Linked DNA regions of Drosophila melanogaster. The protein of the gene in region 4 interacts with the protein of the main gene of each other region in a pairwise test. Each region holds a gene or a part of one and is shown on either strand. Other genes may lie near its edges. The genes, in order: St3, RhoBTB, CG14464 and CG3081.

The links.
Region 1: the proteins of CG3081 (region 4) and St3 interact in a two-hybrid assay, tested with the Drosophila melanogaster proteins (one large-scale study listed by BioGRID).
Region 2: the proteins of CG3081 (region 4) and RhoBTB interact in a two-hybrid assay, tested with the Drosophila melanogaster proteins (one large-scale study listed by BioGRID).
Region 3: the proteins of CG3081 (region 4) and CG14464 interact in a two-hybrid assay, tested with the Drosophila melanogaster proteins (one large-scale study listed by BioGRID).

The regions. Positions count from the first base shown.
Region 1 is NT_033778.4:23,681,698-23,688,503, reverse strand, and holds St3 (sulfotransferase 3), read right to left. Parts: upstream 5,128-6,806; 5' UTR 5,108-5,127; coding exon 4,839-5,107; intron 4,776-4,838; coding exon 4,318-4,775; intron 4,257-4,317; coding exon 4,184-4,256; intron 4,131-4,183; coding exon 3,993-4,130; coding exon of another isoform or gene 3,989-3,992; exon of another isoform or gene 3,942-3,988; coding exon of another isoform or gene 3,884-3,941; exon of another isoform or gene 3,748-3,883; coding exon of another isoform or gene 3,572-3,747; intron 3,510-3,571; coding exon of another isoform or gene 3,122-3,509; exon of another isoform or gene 3,119-3,121; intron 3,029-3,118; exon of another isoform or gene 2,961-3,028; intron 1,967-2,960; coding exon 1,627-1,966; intron 1,472-1,626; coding exon 1,340-1,471; intron 1,271-1,339; coding exon 1,188-1,270; intron 1,073-1,187; coding exon 985-1,072; 3' UTR 524-984; downstream 1-523. Other genes in the region: Pal2 (Peptidyl-alpha-hydroxyglycine-alpha-amidating lyase 2), read right to left, coding at 1-209; l(2)efl (lethal (2) essential for life), read left to right, coding at 3,122-3,509, 3,572-3,747; St1 (sulfotransferase 1), read right to left, coding at 5,660-5,810, 5,871-6,401, 6,466-6,800.
Region 2 is NT_037436.4:20,374,274-20,382,284, reverse strand, and holds the start of RhoBTB (Rho-related BTB domain containing), read right to left. Parts: upstream 6,044-8,011; 5' UTR 5,684-6,043; intron 4,544-5,683; exon of another isoform or gene 4,446-4,543; intron 3,855-4,445; 5' UTR 3,826-3,854; coding exon 3,637-3,825; intron 3,574-3,636; coding exon 3,470-3,573; intron 3,404-3,469; coding exon 3,206-3,403; intron 2,974-3,205; coding exon 2,437-2,973; intron 2,375-2,436; coding exon 2,116-2,374; intron 2,051-2,115; coding exon 1,937-2,050; intron 1,873-1,936; coding exon 1,786-1,872; intron 1,716-1,785; coding exon 1,632-1,715; intron 1,571-1,631; coding exon 1,328-1,570; intron 1,264-1,327; coding exon 993-1,263; intron 739-992; coding exon 587-738; coding exon of another isoform or gene 564-586; intron 494-563; coding exon of another isoform or gene 403-493; 3' UTR 1-402. Other genes in the region: Ide (insulin degrading metalloproteinase), read left to right, coding at 6,798-6,865, 6,924-7,058, 7,116-7,386, 7,442-7,670, 7,721-7,923.
Region 3 is NT_033778.4:4,827,282-4,831,109, reverse strand, and holds CG14464 (uncharacterized protein), read right to left. Parts: upstream 1,865-3,828; 5' UTR 1,804-1,864; coding exon 1,617-1,803; intron 1,564-1,616; coding exon 1,400-1,563; 3' UTR 523-1,399; downstream 1-522.
Region 4 is NC_004354.4:4,638,718-4,643,120, reverse strand, and holds CG3081 (uncharacterized protein), read left to right. Parts: upstream 1-1,958; 5' UTR 1,959-2,044; coding exon 2,045-3,796; 3' UTR 3,797-3,862; downstream 3,863-4,403. Other genes in the region: CG3062 (uncharacterized protein), read left to right, coding at 791-927, 979-1,288, 1,469-1,753.

The DNA.
Region 1 (6,806 bases), on a different chromosome or scaffold from region 4:
ATTGCCAGCTCTGGCTGTTCCGGCTTCGCGAGCCCCTTCTCCTGGAGCCTCCGCTTGATGAGCGCCCGCACCTGGTCGAAGAAGCGCTCGTTGAGGTTGACACCTGGTCCCAGGTCCATGGCCAAGCCCGCTGGCAGGTGGTTGCTGCTGCTGGACGCCACATATCCCAAGCTTATGGCTAGCAGCGCCACGAACAGGAGACGCGACATTTTCTGGAAGTCCTGCGATTTTCTTCACCCAAAACAACGGCGACTCGGTTCTGGCTTCTATCACTCGATTTTCCTCACTGCCAACATCTGTTGGCGGTGTCTATATGTCGAGCTGGCAATAGATTAACTGACTCTGCTCCAGACACACACACACACACACACTCGCACACGCACTCCCACGCTGTTCGATTTTCGCTTTCACTGCGACGCCTGCGCCTTGGTCCTGCACAGTGGGGCAAATCATCGAACATAGTCAGTCCAGTGGAAAATTCATTCCAATGAGATCATTTCTTTATCTTACAAGACAGTTCAAAAAGGTTGCACTCTAGTCTCGAATAAATTTATTAAAAAAGTGCTAGGAACGTATAAATATAAATATTATTAAATTTAACATCTTATGGTTTCTTTTAATGTAACTTAAAAACGTGCAGAACTAGTCGTTTCGGTTTCACTGTGGCCCTGCCACAAGCCGTCGTGAATTGGAAAGCCTATATTGATTTTCCAACAGCAGCGCGGAAACAGTGCGTGCGAAAAGTAACGCGACACTTGGTACTTTTTAGTCAGCGCGAGGTGCGATAACAACGAGGGAGACTAGCCCATCTCCACTAGAGTATTTTTGGAGGCTGAGCAGGAGGCTCCAAGTGGGTATCCTCCTGGAATAATTTTCGTTTGGCTTGCGGAGGCGTTTGGTCGGCAGTCAGTGTGTTTGACGTCACAGCGAGCTGTGTTGTTGGTGAGGGGGCGTGGCGGGGGCAAAGTCCGGAGCGGCTTCATCCTACGCCCCCCAATCCCAGTTCGGCTGGGTCCAAATATAACCGGTATCCGTCATCGAGCAGTAGGCATTGTAGTAGCGTCCCGGCGAGCTGGGAAATGCGAAAGTAATTGCATAAAACCGAATCGGGGGAAGCAAATCTAATTCGGTTTCGGTTTCCCCCGTCGCATTGCATTCCGGGCACTCGGCCGGAAACGGAAACTTACCGGCAGTAGGAGAACTGGGGGCACTTGCAGCGGAAGAGGCTCTGGAACTCCTCCTTACACACCTCGTTCCACCAGCAGGTGCGCTAGAATGCATTGGAAACGAAAGGGTTATCTCGCTGCCACTATGTACCACCTGTTATCCTTTGGGGCACCTCGGTCATGTAGCCGTGGACACTCTGATCCGAGTAGCTTCGCTTCGAGAGATGCGCCTGCACGGGGCAGAAGAGCAGTGTCACCACCAGAAGCAACAGTCGTGACGTCACGGGCAGCGAGTGGGGGGCGAACTGTAATGCAGCGAAGAAAGTGAAACCCAATCCGACATATAACCCCAAAGTGCCTCCGAAAGCACTACTACAACTACTTTCCACTGCATACTCGTGAACACCTTTAGGAGCTAGGAGTTGCACTCCTGTGATTTTTGTTTATTTTTGGAGCTCACCATCGTACAGCTTCCTCTGTTGACGTCTTGACTTATCCTCCGCTCCCAAAGTACAGTGAACACTTCACGTCCTGCGATGAATGTCGCCTGTTTTCCGTTTTTGGCCTCCCTTTGGGGCGGTGGCGTCGGCATCTCGGCATCTCGGCTGCCTTGCATAAGCATAAGTATTGGCCCCGTTCGCCCTCGGCTTTCAGCTTTCACTACTTTCACACGCACACACAGCCATCGAGTGCATGCACTGCTGCACTGGTGTTGGTGTGCTTTTGGCCCATTTCGAAGGGTGATTGCCTCACTGTTTGTTTGGCTGTGTTGGGTACACAATCCACTACAGGGCCAGTCCCTAAAATGTTAGGAACAGAAAACATATATGAGATTGTATGAAAATGTACCATTTTAACAGGTGCAGCAAATGAAAAGAAGATACTTGTTTGTAACTAGCTGAACTTGTACTTGCATCACTGGTAAATTAGATATGAACACTAGAGGGCGGCACTTTGTTTTTGATATAGTATATGTTCGCGATGATATATTTTAAGAAGTAAAACTTTATGATTGATGAGCTACTAATTCAAGCAAATTGCTGGTATAATTTTCAAAACAATGCTTGAAAATTCCTTTGTTTTGAGCGACGTCATCTCTTTCGTCTGATAGAAAACGCACGCGACATGACTCAGCAGAGGAAAAGCGAGAAATAAGAAAAAGTGGCAGATGCTTAAAATAGTTCATAAAGTCATTTAGTGGCCAAAGTATTTTTATATTAGCCGCGTCAAATCAACACTCTCAACAGGTAGAAAATTATGAAAATTCCTATATATCTAAAGAGTAAAGGGGGCGTAAAAGTGTCGAGAAATTCTTCTGGCATTTTCCAGAACACATTTTGCACTTTGGATTTTCGGTTTTCGAAAAAATATTATACAGAATAGAATTTGCATACAAACTGCGGGAATTTGTGTAGGCTTGCTTTTTAATACTCTGCATACATACATATGTGTGTTGCTTCTGGAACAAACAATCGGAAACACTATCATTTGAACTCCGAAAAAGGCCTGTCTGAGCAGTGACTAATGGAATCTTCTTTGGGTCACCATCATCGTAATCACAGGCTGAGTCTGAGTCTTCAAATCCCACGACTCCCACGGTAACAAACAAAACAGGCTGAAATCGCTCGCAGATTCGCACCAAAGATATGTGTTTGGCATATATAGGTTCAGAATGTTCTCTAGAATGACGCTCGTTTAAATTTAGATGGGAAATAAATTTTCATATTTTTAGCCCGTGGGGGAAGATGTAAACAATCTGTTGAGGGTATAAAATCGTGTGAGTGCTCGAGGAGCTCCATCAAAATCGCAGCAGCCGCGAATCGAAGCAGACGCGTTTATCCAAGTGAATTGAATCTAAAAAGGTACGAGGAAGGACCAAGCCAACGCGGAATTTATTGAACAGTGAAGAAGTGAAGTGATTAGCTCACTATCGTCTCGTTTCTTGATCAAAGCAGATGTCCGTAGTGCCACTGATGTTCCGTGACTGGTGGGATGAGCTCGACTTTCCAATGCGCACCTCGCGCCTCTTGGACCAGCACTTCGGTCAGGGACTGAAGAGGGATGACCTCATGTCCTCCGTGTGGAACTCCCGCCCCACAGTGCTGCGATCGGGATACCTGCGCCCCTGGCACACGAACAGCCTGCAGAAGCAGGAGTCCGGTTCCACCCTCAACATCGACAGCGAGAAGTTCGAGGTCATTCTGGATGTGCAGCAGTTCTCGCCATCCGAGATCACCGTCAAGGTGGCCGACAAGTTCGTCATCGTGGAGGGAAAGCATGAGGAGAAGCAGGACGAGCACGGATATGTCTCCCGCCAGTTCTCCAGACGCTACCAGCTGCCAAGTGAGTCCGAATTCCATCAACAAAATAGGAAGTATGCTAAACGTGTATGATCCTTCCACTAGGTGATGTCAACCCCGACACGGTCACATCGTCCCTCTCCTCCGATGGCCTGCTGACCATCAAGGCGCCAATGAAGGCGCTGCCTCCTCCGCAGACTGAACGCCTTGTGCAGATCACACAGACTGGTCCCTCCTCCAAGGAGGACAACGCCAAGAAGGTGGAGACCTCCACCGCCTAGGACTCAATCCTTTTGTACCGCCTTCAGTGTTAGTTAGTTTATGTCTACGTGTGCCTTATATATTGGACTCTACATATTTTATATCAATTAAAACGAATCTTTAGATAAACATTTGAAGAACAAGGTGTTTGGTAGGTCAAACAGCTTGACCTTGCTTTATTTGCTCTCCTCTCTCGCTGTTATTTACTTCCGAGCTAAACCAAAAGATACAACATTATCTTGATTATTCTCAATATGTATCTTACTGATCTTTCAGGAGCAGTAGTTCGTCCAAAGTCACACCGTTCTTCGCAAGAACCTCTTGTATCCGGACATTGGCCTTCTCAATTTGTTCGGGCTTCAATTCGTCCTTGTAGCCATTGACATCCCCACGTCTCACGAATCTAGAGGATTACAAGTGAATGGTTGTTCGGAAAACTATGGGACTTTCTCTTACGGGTGCATTTCTTTCCCAGCATTTTCGTGTTGAACTTGGGCCAACTCCCACAGATGATTCGTGGTGGGATTTTCTGAAAAGAAAATTCGTTTAGCTCAATAAGATCATTGTTTCGGCATAGGCTTCTTGCATACTCTTCATTTCCGCGAAGGACAAATGCTTTAGCAGTTTCTCCATTTGCTGATCGTTGATGGGTTTATTCAGAAATCTGGAGACATCGTTGATCACTCCTCGCAGATCTTTCTTCATCATTTCAAAGCTGGTGTAGAATACCCAAGGCTCGTTCCTCAGTTGGTAGAACTCGTGGGCGTGTTCAATGAACTCCGTGGGGAAATCATCAGAGGCCAGCACCTCATCGAAGTACTGGTGCAGTGACTTCCCGTAATTGAAACCAAAAGATACTCCGTGATAATATCGGGAGACATAGGAGTCCAGGGGGTTACGGGACACATAGATCACTTTGTTTTTTCCCTCCCAAAGTTTTGATGGGAGGAGGGCAAGCGAAAGGTGGGATTTTATCAGTCGCGGGGACTTCAGGTCCTCGATAGGCCCGAATGAGCGGTTCGGGTCGTGAAAAACGGAGTAACCGAACCTGACGAAGACATGGAGGTTTAAGTATATACATATGTATGCCCACGTATACGGATACACTCACTCGAGAAACGGAGTTCGCAGCTCCTGATCCTTGGCCAACGCCCCCTCGAAATCGCAGTTGTTGAGGAGCAACCAGAGCAGTTCCTGCATCCAAGTGGTTCCGCATTTCGGTAGAGTTACGATCCAGACATCGTCATCCCTGAGCTTCATATCGTGGACTAAGCGAAGAAAGTTCTCCGAATCTTTCGTATAAAAAAGCTTTCGATTTCCCCAGTCCTTATCGATAAGGTTCGTGGGATAGCTCCGCGGCGTGACCTGAACCCGATTCATAGCGACAGCGTACTGAGCTTTTGTGGGGAATGAAGTGGAGTATATTACTGGTTGGGTAACTATTTAAGAGAAATTTCTCAGTTTCGCCTCTCTCAGTTCTCTCTTCGCACTACGATGATAAGATTGCACTGTAGTTAATGGGACGCATCTTTCATTTCGGTTGATAATAGCAATGAAAACAAGCCCAGCCAAGATATATGTAGATGCACTTCTTTTTAATAAAGTAGGTCAGATGAGCGGAAAGCTTTGTATTTTTTTATCAAAGAAAGTAGCTTAAAAACTAGATATAAACATATATATGGTATTTATAATGTTACTTGTTTATTAGACTGTAACTGCTGGTAATGATAATATGCCACATAATGCGGTCATAGTAGATAATGGAGTGCCAACCACGGGAACGTAAACAATTCGCTCATAAAATAATTAAGTTACATACAGTATACGGGAAGCAATTATTTATTAAACATATATGTACATATATCATCACAGCTTAAAGACTATTAACGAAGATTACCCAAGAAACACTTTAGCGAAGACAATTAGAGAGAATTACGTGGACGCAAACTTGCTGTAGTTGGCAAAGTCATCCATGTTCAATTTGAAGTCCCGCAGATTACTATCGGACCAGAGATCGAATTCCCGTATGATGTCGGCGGTGAGCTCATCCTTGTGGCTGCCCACGACTCCGCGTCGAACGAACCTGCGAGGAAGATTGGTCTGATTAGCCTGCTCCTGGAGAGCACATGATCCAAAGACTTACCTGAACTCCTCCACCTCCCTGCCGGCAGCCGCCTTCATGCTCTCGAACTCCTTGACGTGGTTGCAGGCGGGATTGTCGCGCATGCTCTCGAAGGAGAGGTGTCGCTGCATCTGCTGCATCTGCTCCTGGCTGACACTGCGCTCCAGGAACTGGGCCACCTCCGAGATAACCTGGCCCAGCTGGCCCTTCATCCGCTCGTAGCTGGTGAAGAAGATGTTGGGCTCGTGGCGCAGCTGCCAAAAGTCCAGGATGTGCGGCCAGCAGGGCGTGAAGTTCACATAGCCGTCGATGAAGGAGTGCATAAAGTCCGACTTGGTGCCCTGGTAGCCCACCATTCCACGCCAGTGGTGGAAGTACGAGATGGCCGCGTCCTTTGGGTTGCGGTACACATAGATGATCTTGGGCCTCTTGCTCCAGATCTGCCTCGGCAGCATCCAGGCGGGCAGATGGGACTTGATCAGGCGCGGCGATGGTAGGGCATTCGCTGCGGCGATGGTGTCGTGTGGCACATTGGGAACCACGCCATTGAATCTGGAGAGGATTGTTGGTTGATTAGTATCCTTCACTTAGCTATGCTGATGACTTGGGAACGCACTCAAGGAAGGGCGATCGATGCGTGAGATCCACGCTCTTGGCCGTCTCAAAATCACACTCATTGATCACCAGCCAGGCCAGCTCCTGCATCCAGGTGGTGCCGCATTTCGGAAGCGTGACAATCCACACGTCGTCGTCCCGCACCTCAAAGTCGTACACCCGATCCAGGACCGGCTGGAAAGTGTCCGCCAGGCGGCAGAAACGCTGCTCCCAGTTCCCGACCACCGGCACCGACGGCTTGCTGCTGGCGAAGATCGAGGAGTAGCCGCCACTGATGGCCAGCTTGTCGATCTGCTCGAAGGGCACGCTCTTGGCAAAGAAGCTCGACTGGGGCATCTTCGA
Region 2 (8,011 bases), on a different chromosome or scaffold from region 4:
CATACATACATGTCTTAGGTAAAGGTACAAATATATGGATATACACATGTCTGCGTCCTTCGGCTGTCCACATTCCATGGGAGGGATCGTGCAGAACAAGTTGAGTGTACACCGATATATCGTAAGGCAATACAGCGAAATGCTTCGCAGCGCCGAGGTGCATGTGCATACATACTCGTCTATGCTTTGCGTTTTATATAGGCGTATAAATATAAGAAATCCGAAGCACTCTGCAGTATGCTCCCTTGTTCTGGGTCGAGCTACGTTGGACTTATTAATCGTTAATCACTAAGGCAAATTTGCGCTCTATATATTGCGTAATGTCAAAAGCAGACGCGCCACGCCCCCTCCATTTCCAACCCTTATCTCCCCGACCACTCTAAATCGTGCCCTTGAGGTTTGTTATGTATGGATTTGGAAAAGTATCAAAATACTTAAAATCGTACAGATAAAACAGATCAGGACCGGCAGGATCACAATGAAGCGCAGTGATCTGGAATCAAAGTATCGAAGTAAATCATAAATATCGAAGAATCCTTACTTTGACATTAATATCAACACACCTTCCTTGCCCTAGGGCTGGGTGTCAGAGATTCAGGTCCATGTCCGCCTCCAGATCAATGTGGTTGAGCGAGTTGCCGGCGCTGTTGAAGATCTGATTATCTGCGTTGCTGTTATCCGTGGTTCCACTCACATCAGCGCTTCGCTTCGATTTACCTAACAGCCAGCAAGAGAATACTTTGACCAAATTTCGGACATTAATATTATGATGATGGCGTTGTCGTTGTAAATGAGCAAGGAAATCAACAGGAAAGGAAAACAATAACGAGACACCTAGCTACGAATACAAACCGCCGTCATGATACATACATTGTCCTCTAAAGCTAGCTGAAACTAAAACCTGAGCTGATCCTCCGACTGGAGTATTGGACTGGGATGTTAAGTGTGGTGGGATGTGGAGCAGATAGTTCCGTAAATGTAGCAACACTTACCGCCCGTAAAGCACAGACAGCCCTCGTCATCGCTAGGCGATTCCCGCCTCGAAGTCTTTAGCTTAAGCTCCTTGTTCAGCTCGTTCAGGCATCGCTGATAGTAATCATAGTCTTTCAGATACCAGACTGGAGGCCATCGGTGCTCGCGCAAGTACTCCTGATTATCCTGGTGTAGCGCCTTTAGGCCCTTGAGTGAAAACTTACAAATAAGGTTGTAATTGACGCACAGGTATGACATGCACCACTCGGCCAATTGATGTGCGTTGTGCAGCTGAAAAAAAAAGAAAAGTATTGAATTTCGGTATATCATTTTTAACTGATCTCTCTATGTGTACCTTCACTGGCTCGAGCAGCTTTAGACAGTGATCCACCGTTTCATTGGTTTCGTTCTGAGAAATCAGAGTGAGATCTTCAATAACGCGGCATTCAACCAGGTTGAGCAGCCGCGGCAGGCAGAGTCTATTGGCCAGCTCCAGCAGATTGAGGCACTTGACGGCCGAGATTGGCGGAATCTGGTCTGTGTACAAATAGCACAGCAGCTTGTGGAATGTGTAAATGGTAACGCCAGGGAATACGATCTAAGGTAAAGGAAATTTATGACAACTGTCCTTAGTTAAGGGGTATTGTGCCCGTTCCTACCACATTGGAATGAGCCTCGCGAAAGTCGCCTAACAACATTGCGCGCATGACATCACAACGACCAACCAACACAGCGCGGTGTGCCTGCAATGCAGCAAAGGTAAGTGTAAACGATTGTGCTTCATATAGTAATTCAACAGACATATGTATGTACCTTCATTAAGCCATCGTCCAATTCAAAGGTGACATCACTGAAGCACCCGTCACCAATGCAATGCCGTTCCATGCTTTCTTTGATGCGCTAATGTATGTAACAGAAAATGGTTAGGATCATAAAATAGATATCATGACATCAATGCGCTCACCAGGCAAATGTGCGGATTTGGCTCATCGCTGGAGTTCTCCATAACGGTTTGAGGCCTGGAAAGTAGCTGAGTCAGTTGCGGCAGTTCTAATAGATCGGCAGCTTCTCGAATTTCCTGTGAGAATTAACAATATATTAGTAGGTCAAACTTAACACAGAATACATTGAAACATTTCCTACCTCGATATTATCGCAATCCTTGTCAATGGTACCGGTATAAATAAATCTCAGGCACTGGTGCAGAGCTTGCGGAGAGATAAGTTTGCTAAGGGTGACAATCGTCTGCAGACCATTTACACCCCGATGGTTTTCCACGTGCACCAGGCGAATGCTCTGCAGGACCGGATGATGCAGCTCCCTGTACAAATCGTTGGACCGCTTAGACTCCATGAGAGGCAACGCCTGGTAGCTGGAGCGGCGCTTCAAGTGTTCCCACATTCTGTGGGTGCAAAATGTATTCAAAGTCAAATGGGCTCAATGCAATCGGGAGGCAGCACCCACCGTTGTGTGCGTGATTCGTAGCGGATCAGGGCCTCCGTGTCATCGTTAAAGTCCGCAATGGTGGCCTCCCCGAATGTTGAGCTGACCATGCTAGATTCGCTGCTGCTCCGCCCGCCCATATCAGTCAGCTCAGTGCTAAGCAGGCGCTGGAAGATGCTGGACGCGGCGGCTAGCATGAACCTGTGCACGGCGAACTTGGTGCCACCCGCCCCGACCAGGACGAGGTCGGTGTAGGCCTGCGACAGGAACATGTTGTAGATGTCCTGCCGATAGTTGCCGACCATGACGGTGACCTCCGGTGGTGGTGGCTTCGGTGGCCGGAACGGCGCCTGCAGCAGGGGCTTCTGCACCTTCTTCAGGTTTGTCATCCAGAAGCGCTGCTGTCGGCGTGCAATCAACGCGGATCGGATGGCGTTTTCAAACACCTCGTTCACCCCAAAGTATGTGAAAACACTGGTCTCGTAGTACGCCACTCCTAGCTCTTTGGCGACGGCACGCGCCTCATCCGGCATAACCAGGTCACTCTTCAACGCGGCTCTTTAAAAAAAGATTATAGTAATGATTGCCTTTAATTTAATCCAATTAAATAGAATATCTCTGAACATATAAACAGATTAATTTGCTATAGTGGGCTAAACATTGAATTATATCTTTCGTGTGTTCTAAATATAATTAAATTATGGTGAATAATTGAATTGATTTGATTAAAGAACAACATTAAAAAGTGAAAGCCACTCAAAACCGGCTGAAACCTGCTAGCTATGCATACCGAACAAAGGTTCCCTTCTCGCCGAAATACGAGAGATAGTTCTCGTCGCGATACATGTAGCGCAGGTCGTTCTTGCAGCCAACTAGAATGACGGGAACATCCGGACAAAAGCGGCGAATTTCCGGATACCACATCATCTTGCAGTTGCGCAGGGAAATCGGACTGGCAATGGAAAAGCACAGCAGCACCACATCGGATCTGTAGGTCAAGAAGGCATCTTATTGATTCGTATGGCGAAAATGCTGCTACATGAGCTCTACACACCTGCCGTATGCGAAGCGCCGATCCTTGTCGTGGTCACCAAATGTGTCCCATAGGCGAAGTGAGACATTCACTCCATCGACCACCTCCCATGATCGCTCGAGTACCTTTAATGTATATGGATTCGGTTAAATGCAATAACTATGACTCTTGAGAGAATGGTAACCCACATCCTTATATATGCGATACTGGTCAATGGCCCACACGGTCGGCACGTGCGTAGAGAGGAGCTGAGATAGCGAGACGTGTTTGTTGCAGGCCCTCGCGCAGATCAGTCGCGTCTTGCCCACGGCCGTGTCCCCCACCAGGACGCACTTCACTAGCTCTTGATGCGGCTGCTCGTTGTCCATTTTGGGCATGCACAAATAGCAGAACCAGCTTATGGAATCTGAAATGAAAATAGTATTGGATTTTTGTGTGATTTAATAAAATGTGGTCTCTCCTGAGGAAAACATACATAAATGAAAATATTGAAAATAAAATAAACTGCTGACACCCCTTCTAATATAAATAAGTGAACTACGTAGAATAGCTGCCTTAATGTTTTTCAGTTCTGATAAGCAGATGCTAAATTCTCGACTAACAATCGACCTGCTAATTACTAAGTTACACAAAGTGTCGTCTGCATTAACGTTTTGTGTGAAGGCAAAATGGTTTCATCACGTGATTAATTTGATTTTAATCTAGATACCTAAGTGCTTCCCAAAATAGAAATACATAGTTTGAAATAATCTACGCACTGGGAAAATTCACTTCTACGTTCAGTTATACGTAAAGCCAGAATAACTGATCTACGCCAATAGGCAATTTTGTTTGTTTACTCGCTGCGCACTGTGAAAATAACTATAGTGAAATCAGATACCAGCTTCGTATCATTTACTTAGAAATCTATTGGATCCCGCAAACGGAGGCTATAAAACCAGCCAATTCATTGACCCCCACTTGATCCACTTGTCGCGGAGGAAGTTGGAGTAAGTACCTCGGATACGGAGCGATAAGCTCGCTCTCTCTCTTTGAACCTCTAATTGAACTTAATTGGGCTGCACTAAAAATATATCTGCCTTCAATCCTCCGGTCGCAATGAGCACACTTCTTCCTGCGTGGCCCACGCTTCATGGCAATCCATTGTCCGATCTTCTCGACGAGCTGCAGTCTGTCTATTTTGGGACGCGCTTTAAACCCAAAACAATAACCATGCAATTGAAAGTACTTCAAGTGGTCGCCAGAAGCGATCGTTGTTCTCCACAGGAAAGTCTTTTGTTCGTGCGAAGACTTTAAGTTACTGTCAATATTGTGGATCGTTGACCTCTGGAATACATGGCAATCGGTTCCACTTTTGCTTTGATTTTCTATAATTTATGTGTTCAATCTATTTAGAGCCATTTGAATTGACTTTATGAAGGTTAAAGAGGGAAGAATATTCTTCAAATATTGAAAAATTAATGTCTGATATAACTACTATAAAATACCGTTTTTATTTTTATTATTTCCTTGTAGAAATATTTTTAAAATATATTATTTAAGTGCCCAGTCTTAAGCAAAGTGAAGCAAAAACAAAGAAACAAAGAAAGAAGACGTTGTGAAGGTAAACAACTGTTAGTTTTTGAAGATATCAGGTATTTTGAAAATGGAAAGATCGTATTTTTTAGTTTTTAAAAGGTATGTTCTTAGTTTTCATTGTAAAATATTTGCACCAACCATAATCTTGGGAAATAAAAACAAAGTTTATTTAGGGACTGGTTCCAATTTATTTCTCATGCGAGGTGTGAACCTGTGGTTTAATTAGACATTTTGATTCGCGAGAATTCGCAGAACACGCCAGCATATTAGCATTATTAACAAACTCTGCGCTGTTTTGCCATGTCTGGGAAGTCTCCTTTCTTCAATTTTGCCAGCTTATTGATTTTCTCGTGCCATTGCAAAACGGCCACAAATACCGTTACCAAACCACACACACATTCAGACTCGCACACAAGGAGGCACAGAAGGGACTTTTAGGAGGGGATCTTGAAGTTCGGACTCGACATTCCGGCAAACTTGACCCATTTAGGGGAGAAAAATCGTTGAACACTTGCACTTTTTCTCGAGGAAAACGCATGTTGGTGGGTAAACAATTAAAACCTGATTAGAACCTAATTCTTCGACTGCTGGCCGAAGGGGAGAGCACAGAATTCCCGAACTCATAAATCTCCGCGGACGTAGCACTGCAGCACTCACCTCTGAAAACGCCTGATCCCACGGATTGCACGAATTGCACGGATTTGCCTCAATGTTCTTACTTTTGCGTATTGCACTTATCAACACGCACACCAAAGCACGGCATTTTACAACAATTTGCATTTATTTCTGCACCCACACACCGATGGCGACGCAGTTTGTGGTTCGCAAACACGCGAAATCTTTACGGCTGGCACAAGTTTAACATCGCTGCGAGCTGGTTGCCGACGGATGGCTGCGGATGAGCCAGTGCTCGCTGACCAGGTGCACTATAAATGAAATTAAAAAATAATAAATTGCAGTTACAGCCCGCAATTCTTCTACGCGCTTTGACGGCAACCGGCCAGTGTTGGAAAACGGCGGCGGTTGGGCGCGGAGCACTGCCAGATTGACGGAGAACGGGAATTCACGGAATATTTATTTTTATAATGACTGTTATCAGGGTTGCCCAATATTTATTGTATGGTCGTTGGAAAAATTTCAAGCATTTGAAATACATTTTGAAATCGCCATCTATCCTAGGTAAGGTGAATATGCAGCTTACTTTAGTCCAAAGTTACATTAGAACTATTAAAAATCATCACTTTAAACTTATTAAGTCTTTCGTATTTGAAAATATGGCCTACCACTTTGTAAAATTTCTCCAATTGGGAATTTCAAATCTGGAACCACTCACAAAATAAACGATCTGGCAACATATTAAACTAGTTCTGCGTGCGCGGTGAGTTGGCAGCTCTGCGAACAGATGATTGTTTGCTATTTTAGTTGTTGCGAAACTAGTTAGAATTTATTTTTCGGTCCAAAAAGCGATTAAAATTGATTGAACGTGTAACCGACCGGCTTGGAAATCTACTCCTCCCACTCTAAGATTTCTTGTGCGCGCTACGTAAAGCCGGAGTAGCGTCGTCAAGAGTATTTCACAAACTCAATGTATCTTACGTGCAGAAAATCGATTTTTGCCTTAACAGCGGTTTTTGGTCGACGGTTGGCAGCAATTAAACAAATTTCCGCTAACGGGCACCACTAAATCGCATTTATTTCGCACAGGTCAAGTGCGTTGAGGGCCAGCATTTCAGTAACACATCGAACGATTGGCACGCTTATAAAACCCAAGATGACAATAGCCGAAAGCTCGCAAAAGTCCGCAACTAGGAAGCCAGACAGCATGGAGCCCATATTGAGGTAAGTGCACGTTACGCATCTTAGAGGTCGTCGAAAGGCAATGGTTCGTCGTTTATAGGCTGAACAACATTGAAAAGTCGCTGCAGGACACACGCGACTACCGCGGATTGCAACTAGAAAATGGACTAAAGGTCCTGCTCATCAGCGATCCCAACACAGATGTCTCGGCGGCAGCGCTGTCCGTGCAAGTGGGGTAAATAAGATCAAATCTTCACTCAATGTTTGTTTTTAATGAGTATACCCATGGCAGCCACATGTCTGATCCCACGAACCTGCCTGGATTGGCCCACTTTTGCGAGCACATGCTGTTCCTCGGCACCGAGAAGTATCCGCATGAGAATGGCTACACCACATACCTTTCGCAGAGCGGCGGAAGCAGCAACGCCGCCACCTATCCCCTGATGACCAAGTACCACTTTCACGTGGCGCCGGACAAGTTAGATGGAGCCTTAGATCGCTTCGCGCAGTTCTTCATAGCCCCCTTGTTCACGCCCAGTGCAACTGAGCGGGAAATCAATGCGGTATGTGAAAGCATTCATTAAAATTTCTGACAGAAATAGGACGCTGTCATTGCAGGTAAACTCTGAGCACGAGAAAAACCTGCCCAGCGATCTGTGGCGCATCAAGCAGGTGAACCGCCACCTGGCAAAGCCTGACCATGCCTACAGCAAGTTCGGCAGCGGCAACAAGACCACCCTATCCGAAATACCCAAGTCCAAGAACATTGATGTGCGGGATGAGCTGCTAAAGTTTCACAAGCAGTGGTACTCCGCCAACATAATGTGCCTGGCTGTCATTGGAAAAGGTTTGTTTTAGTATAGCCGTTTCTGCCAGCAAGTAATCAATCTCTGACAGAATCGCTGGACGAACTGGAGGGCATGGTATTGGAGAAGTTCTCCGAAATAGAGAACAAAAACGTCAAGGTTCCAGGTTGGCCACGCCACCCCTACGCCGAGGAGCGCTATGGACAAAAGGTGAAAATAGTGCCTATCAAAGACATCCGATCGCTGACGATAAGCTTTACCACAGACGATTTGACGCAGTTCTACAAGTCAGGCGTAAGTTTAAGGTACCACTGCGCTGTGGCTACGGATCAATCAGAGGATTCCTTTCTGGCCAGCCCACTGAACCTCTTGTTTAATTATA
Region 3 (3,828 bases), on a different chromosome or scaffold from region 4:
TGCATTGCTCAACAATAAATTTTTTTATACACATTTGTTTTTTATTATTTTTAAAAATATTTTCGAAAGCTTTAATGTGTATTTTGCAAATATTAAAAAATAAATCAGATGGTGCCTTTAATTTCCCAAAGTCGGATTCTATTGAGTAGTTTTTCTCATGTATAAAAAGCTCTGATGGAGCTGTTAAATGCTCGATTTCTTTTAAAATTACCGATCTGCATTTATCGCAACAACAAGTCACATCAAAGACACTAGAATTATTCTAGTGTCTTTGTTTTGGTCATATCTTGAGGCACGAAGTGCGGACACAAGCATTCAACAATCATTGCCTTATTAATTTTTCACACGCCTCAAGATGAATACTCTAATGACCAATATTCTTACATAAAGTCATTTTTGAAATTTATTTTTGTGATAATATGTACATAGATTTGGCTATTTCTATTCTATTTTCAAATAATAATAACGTTAAGGCAATGCAAAACAAGAATTTTTCGCATGGTGCCAATTGATCAAAAATAATATAGATTTAAAGTCAAAGAACTTTGAAGGTGAAGGGCATATTTTGTCAAATTTACAATGCATGAGCATATGTGTGCACACATACAGTTGTCTGCTATCCCTGTATGCGCTCTCTCGCTCTCGAACAAAAATTCGAGAGAGCCTGGAGCCACCTCTAGAGCCACGGCGAAAAAATCGTGTGCCAAAAAATCGTATGGCGTTACGCATCTTGTTATTCTAGTGTCTTTTGTTCACCGGTGACGGTGAGATTTTATACTTCACCGGACCAGCGTGCACATTTCCCTTAATTTCATCACGGTACTATTGGCGCTTTTCGTCGGGTTCTCCTGTGGGTTGTATGAAGCCGTTAGATTGTGTCGCTCCCCAGCTCCTATACGCTTGAAGCTCTTGAACGCCTTGCTTATTAACTTAACTCCGTGTTCGGTTATCAGCACCTTTGGCACGACGTACTATTCTACTATCTCTTGCAAGCGGTCCTATGCAGAGGACAATCTCGCACCATTTCGCGAATCGAACCGCCCTATTTTGATCTTTCACCTTTGTATAACTGTTTTTACAGTCGACTAATTATTATACCATCAAAAATGTACTTATACTTATACGGTAGCAATAATAAAAGTGTATAACAATTGATAAAGCACGCAAAATAAGTACAAGTACAATAAGTCTTCACCATAGCTGCTGAAGAATTTACTTTATTTTTGGAATCATTTCCTTTCAATTAGCACATAATGTATTTTTCTGAAGCAATAACTTTGTTAAGAATTGTTATATGTGATGTATTTCGTCTGAATGATAGTTTAATGCTCGTTTGGCTGTTCATTAATACTTATATTAAGTTACAAATATTTAATTAATACATGTGATTTGCTTAACTTTATCTTGGTATATATTTATTTTGAATATTTAAATCTTTACCGTCATATGTTATGTCCTCATAAAAAAACTTTCGATTCGAGCGACATTGGGGACCACACCTGGTAGAGCCACAACTTCGGCAATTATACCAGCAACCATCACATTCTTGATTCATACAGTCGCCTGAATTACGTGTTTTATTAATAACAACCACGTAAGGAGTGATTTGTACTTACATATGTCCAGACCGTTTGAGCGAATATTTCCGTATTCATCATATGCGCTATTTTGACATTTCTTTCTGCCTTTTTTTTTATTTTCGGAATCTAAATAATTTGAGTATTCGTTAGAAACTCCTTTTTTTCTATGTCTCTGACGCAAATTGCGACTGATGGAATAATCTGAATCTAAATACGGCTTCATATCTTGGCGAGAATTTGTTATACTAAAGTGCATGGCCTCCTTTCAAAAATCAATTTAACCCACGCTATTGGTGTCCACTAATAGTGTGCACACACTGCCATATTATTATTTATAGGGTCTTTACACTGCACTTGTGCTTCTGATTATGCCACGTTATGTCACTGACTTAATCAATTATAATTACAGTATATTCGTTAGATTATTCTGCCTCAACATTTAACTGGACATTAAGATAACTGCGCAATCATATTTTTTTGAATAACCAAAATCTATTTTGTTTGAAAAATATTAATTTAATTAAAAACTTTATAAGGGCAAAGAACGTTATTCAAAAATTGATATCAGATTATTTGAAGTAAATAAGTATTTTAAGTAATAGGAATCGCATCATATATTGAGGTTGTTTTAGGAACAGCATTCGGGGATACCTGAAGCAACAGAAATCAATTAATTATATCAGCAAACGTACCAAGCATATCAAAATACCAAACCAACCATTTAAACTACATGCGACTGTGTCCTTAATTTTTATACCCGTTACTCGTAAAGTAGAAGGATATCCTAGATTTACTAAAAGCTTGTAACAGGCACAAGGAAGCGTTTCCGACCATTTAGAGTATATATTGTACATACATATGTACATATATTCTATTGAAGTCGATTCGAGATGGGCATGTCCGTCTGCCGATGAACGTCTTGATTTCAGGCGCTATAAAAGGTAGAAAGTTGAGATTAAGAATATAGATTCTAGAGACATAGACTCAGCGCAAAGTTTGTTGCCACTCCAACGCCCATTAACAGCTCAAAACTGCCACGCCTACACTTTTGCAAAATGCTTTGATATTTATTTACATTTTTATTAATTTCTATTGATTTGCCAAAAAACTTATTGCCGCGCCCACTCTGAAGCCCTTAAACCTCCCGAAAACTGCCACCTGCACATTTTTTGGGATATTTCTTCATAATTTTATAAGTCTTGTAATTTTCAATGGATTGGCCAAATATGTTTATGCTGAAAATATTTATGCACTCAAACTCCCTAAAACAGACCAAAACTGCCACGCCCAAATTTTTAAATTTTTTATAATTTTGTATACAGTGCCGCGTTTGTTTAAATTTAATTAGTCTTGTAATTTTCTAATTTCGCCGACATTTTTGAAAAATAGTTGGATTTTTTTCATAATTTAAGAAGTCTTTTTCTATTGGTCGATTATTGGATCCTATGTCTTGTAACATGTACTGAAAATGTTTTTTTTGTCCGGAACCGAAAGATCAATATCATCATAATTTCGAGATGACAATCGACATAATACCATAATAAAAGAGAAATCAGAGCAGCAAACCAAAAGAATTCATTGTTTTCGCAAGACTAATGCCTCAAACTGAACCAAACTGTCACACCCATACTTTTGAAAAATGTGTTGATATTTTTTCACATTTTTATTATACTTGTAAATCTAATCTATTTGCAAAAACACTTTTACGCACTAGCTGAATAACGGGTATCTGATGGTCGGGGAACTCGAGTATAGCATTCCCTCTTGATTTTAAGCTCTTGTGTTCCGATTTACTTTCCGTCCATCTCTCACAAGACTCTTTAGTTTACGAAAGAATTGACAGACCTAAGAAATGTAAAGTTCAGCCTTCATACAAAATTTAAAAATAACGGTCTATCCTTTTAAAATCGGTAAAATTTTACTGTGCTCAATGCTCAGTGTTAGATTAACTAATGTACTGTACGTTCCAGTTCGCGAAACAATTTCTAACCGTTCTCGCTATTTTTTTTAAATACCACGGTACCATCGGATCAGGCATTTGAAAAGTTTTTTCAAACGAAGTGTTCCAAGTTACCTCATTCCGAACATCCATACTCTTAAACGGTGCCAAATGTAAGTGTCCCATTCTAAACGAATGCTAACTGCTCTACGATCTTTAACGAGTTAAGCCTGTCTATTTATTGTGATTCCTCTCCATTAAAAAGGTAACCAATTGGATTCAAGGAATTACAGTGAAATCTCTAAATTG
Region 4 (4,403 bases):
AACACCCACTGCAGCACCCATCGATCAAGGCCTCAATCAAGTGGTGACACTCGGAGCGCTCCGAGTATCGAGTTACCAGCGAAGGTCCATTTGCATTCCTTAATTGAAATTCGTACGCGTGGGAAGACCACGCAGCCTGAAAGCTTTGAATCTCCCAAAGTTGGATGTTGCTCCATGTTTTTTTTTTTTTTTGGAAGAGATGATCTTCCATTTAACAGATTTCACTTCTCATATTCATATTCAATTATGCCACATAGTAGTTCAATCCAATTCAATTGCAGGCATATTGCCGGGCTCACTTGCTCCTGTGCCCGCTTAGGGCTGGCTAATCCTTCTGATAAATGGTCCGGGCTTTGGATGAGATGCAGTGGCTCGTTTTTTAGCGCGCGCAGAGATGTTGGAAATTTTTAGAAAGGCAAACACAAACAAGGCATTAAGTGGCATTAGACAAATGCCTTTCTACACATGTTCCAGCGTAGAGATTACGCCGTGTAATTGGCCCCACCTCCATTCGCCCGGGGTGGGTTCCGGTTTTCGATTGACATTTGGCCACGGCTGCGGGGTGGGCTACTGCTCTGCTCTGCTCTGCTCCTTCTACAATTTTTTTTTTTTTTTTTGTTCTTTCTTTTTATCAATTGCCTTGTTTGCGCTGGGACCATAAATAAGGGCATTACTCGCAGGGGGCGTGCGCGTTTTCCTAACAGGTGTCTATCGACTCCTGGCTAATCCCATGCCCATGCCCATGCCCAGCTCCCTGACATCGAGTTCCTTACTTACTCGTTCGTTGCAGTTCGAAGGCCGATTCCAGTCGAAGCGTCTCAACAACTGGGAATATCCGCGATTCTCACCACCCCGCCCACGTGGTCTGCAGAAGAACGCCAAGGTTGTGGCGGCCAATAACGGTCACCTGCTGCCCGAAGTGATAAAGTAAGCAATTGCCAATGCCCCACAATTATACAGTTTAATTTTAATCCACAGGGAGGGCAACTCATTTGGCCAATATCGTGGAACCTACGAGCTACCGCGTCGAATAACCCGTGCCTTTTGCGCCCACTACGATGCCTGTCTGAGTGGGCGGTACAAGTTTGTTGACTTTCCGCGTGACCTGTGCAATTGTCAGCGAGAGAACCGCAGGGCACTGGCCTGCGATCAGCGGTTGACCTTGGGCCACAAGGACGATCCCTACTGGATGCGCGAACGGTGCCAGACGAAGTGCGAGGGACTACAGAAGCTGAGGGCGTTGAGCGAGCGGAGTGCGCGCTGCAATCGGGCCAAGTGCGACGTGGTGGTGAGTGGGAATCGGGGTCACCATCGGGGTCACCATCGGTGTCACCTCTTACCAATTATGTGCACCCAGATTATTGAGTTATCTGCAACCAAGCTATACATATTTTCATTTCTGGTTGCACTTTTTGCACTTTCATCCTGCACCCTGCACACTCACATTCACATTCACCTGCAACCGTAGAGCGAGAAAACCGTGAAGATGACGCCGAAGGCAATCAAGACGACGGGTGTGGCCACCGAAAAGCGGCGTCGAAAGCGCACCATAACCGCCTTTTCCAAAGGACGAACGGCATTGCATCCCAATGAGCTGACCAAGCCGATTCCATCGTCGGAGAAACCGGCGGCGACTGTCGCCACTCCCAAGGACAAGCCGAAGGACAAGCCAAAGGACAAGGAGGCGGGCAAGAAGGATAAGACGAAGGATAAGGGCAAGGAGAAAGAGCGCAAGGCGGCGAAGGGCCATTAGTAAAACTTCATTATTTTGTTCAACCGAAATTCAAATCAAATTCATTGTAACCGCAGGTTTAAAATACATTTTAAAGGGCAGCACGATTGCACTCAACACAAATCATATAGCATATATATTTTATAACTAAACCCAGGTTAAACCATCTGTTACATATGTACATAAATCATACATCATTATCATCTCCATCTCCATCTCCATCTTATCTCATCCCATTCCATTCTGCACCACCAACGCATTGCAACAAGTGAACGAACCTGAAAGCCACCTACTCCATTACTCCATCCAATCATGTCGCAAACAGCTCTCCCGGAACTGAGCTACACGCCGGGCGACCTAACAGAGCCGCAGTTCCGGCTGCCCTCGCACCAGGAGCTCCTCGACCAGAAACGCAACAGCACGGACAGCGTGCCACTTGGTCGTCTCACCTTGGACACGCGCGACACGCAGCCCATCAAGTACAGGGAGCAGCTGGGCTCGGCGGCCGGTCGTCAATTTCCGGCATTGGCAGCGGCCCAAAATCGCTATACGGATCACTTGGAGCGCAGCAGCGAGTTGAGCTTTGCGTGCCTGGAGCCGGGCAAGGATCTAATCTCATTGCCGACGGTGGGTATACGAAGCTTTGATCTCGATCCCGTATCCGTATCCGAACCCGATTTGATCAAGAAGATGCCGCTGCACTCGATCACGGAGAAGCCCAACGAGCGGTGTCCATCGCCAGTGGTGCCGGCATATGCCAATTTCGAGCTGGCCAAACGGATGCACCAGGACAATTTGGACCACCAGCCGCTGCCCGATTGCGTCGCCGATTTGGCATTCCGGCGAGCGCAAATATCCGGCGGACATGCTGGCCTGGCCCTGGAAATCGATCCCATTGCCACGGGCGTGGGTGTGAAAACGCACAATGCTGGTCCGACGCACTGCACCAAGATGAAGGTCTTTCGTCCGAAGACCGGCGGTGGCATCGTGCCACGTGCCCTCGGCAATGGCGATGCCTTTCGAGGTGTTGGCTCCGCTCCGGCCAAAAAGATGGGACCCATGGATTTGGCCATTTGTTGGGACTTCAAGCCGGCGAATCCATCGGATGAGCCGCGCCTGGCCAGGCACATAGATGGCTCCAATGACTCCGCTGGACCGGCTGTCTTCACCTGCGTGAAAACGCCTCGCGAGGAACAGTCCTCGGACTTGGGCCGATCGGCTGGCGTCTTCACCAGCACGCTTGGTGAGGCCGATTTCTTCGACAAGGACATCCTGAGGAAGCGAACGGATTTTGGCGGTGCCCGTGTGGATCGCGAGGATCCGTGCGCCTGCGACTACTCGCCACCGGCCAGACAAAGAGCACGCAGTGTCTCCCGCGATTCCAGTGCATCGCATTGCAGGCGAGGATCGGGCATCGGCGGTCCAACTGGCGGTGTGAGTTTCGGCAATTTGGCGGAGCTACCCGGTCGCGGGATGCCCGATCGTCTAGCCAAGCAGTATCAATCGTCACCCCTGCTGGGCGACAAAGCCTACCAGGCTTTGAGGGAGAAATATTTGGGTCCGGACTCTGGACAGGATTGCAGGGCCATGGATTGCCGGCCAACGGGTGGTCCACCATGCAAGCGAGACGTTCTCCTCCGGCGTCCAGCTCGACGTCTCTGCCACAAGGTGGCTCCAGCTCCCAGATGCTGTCCCCCATCGTTCGGCGGACATGGTCATCACCATGGACATGGACACGGACACGGACATTGCTTGACCAGTAAGGCGGCATTTCGCGCCGGAGTGCCCAAGCATAATGCCTCCGGTGATTTCGTGGGAATAGAACCGGGCTGCGGAGGAGGTGGCGGTGGCGGTGGTAGGGTTCTGGTGGTGCCACGCCCCCGGCAGCCGTATGCCAAAAAGAATTACGACATCGAAACCCTGGTGCCGCCCTTCCAAAGCCAAGCGGGCGGAGCGGGTCAGGGCGGCTATCCAGAGCACTGGCGATTGGCCAGTGTCTATCAGCACGCCTACAAGCCCATCGACCAGCGGCGGCGACCCCTTCTCCAAACTGTCTACAAGTAGGTGTGCTCCAGGATGGCAGTCCGCTCAAGAGAGAAATGTCCGGACAAACGGGATAATGAATAATTGAAAGCTATACAAAAATGTCCATAAGCTAAGCAAGTATATTAACTTATCAACTTAAATGTTTGCTAGTCATTAGCATTAAATTGATGCATCTGTACACACAAATTAGTCGGAAAAATCGGTCCAAGAATAGGAAATCACACGTTTATGTATAAAAAAACAAATGTTATATATATTAGAAAGCATATATATATATATATATAAAGATATATGGGCAAACATACATACATACATATATGAATAAACGTGCAAACATCAAGTAACTTAAAACTATAAACAGTGTGCAAATTAATTTGCAGAGTTCGCTTGAAAAATTAAGAAAAAAAACTTGATTAAAAACTAGGTGATGATGTGGTTTTCAGATGAAATAAGGTTTCCTTTCCTTTTTTCGCTGGTCTTGTGTGACAATCTTTGGGTGCAATTAAAAACTTAACTAGGTGCTGAAAAATCGAATTGAAAAGAAGTCAATTGGGTCAATTCAACAAGGGGAAGGCGCATTTCAAAAATAATAACAAATAAATTTAAATGCTTTCGGTTACAGAAA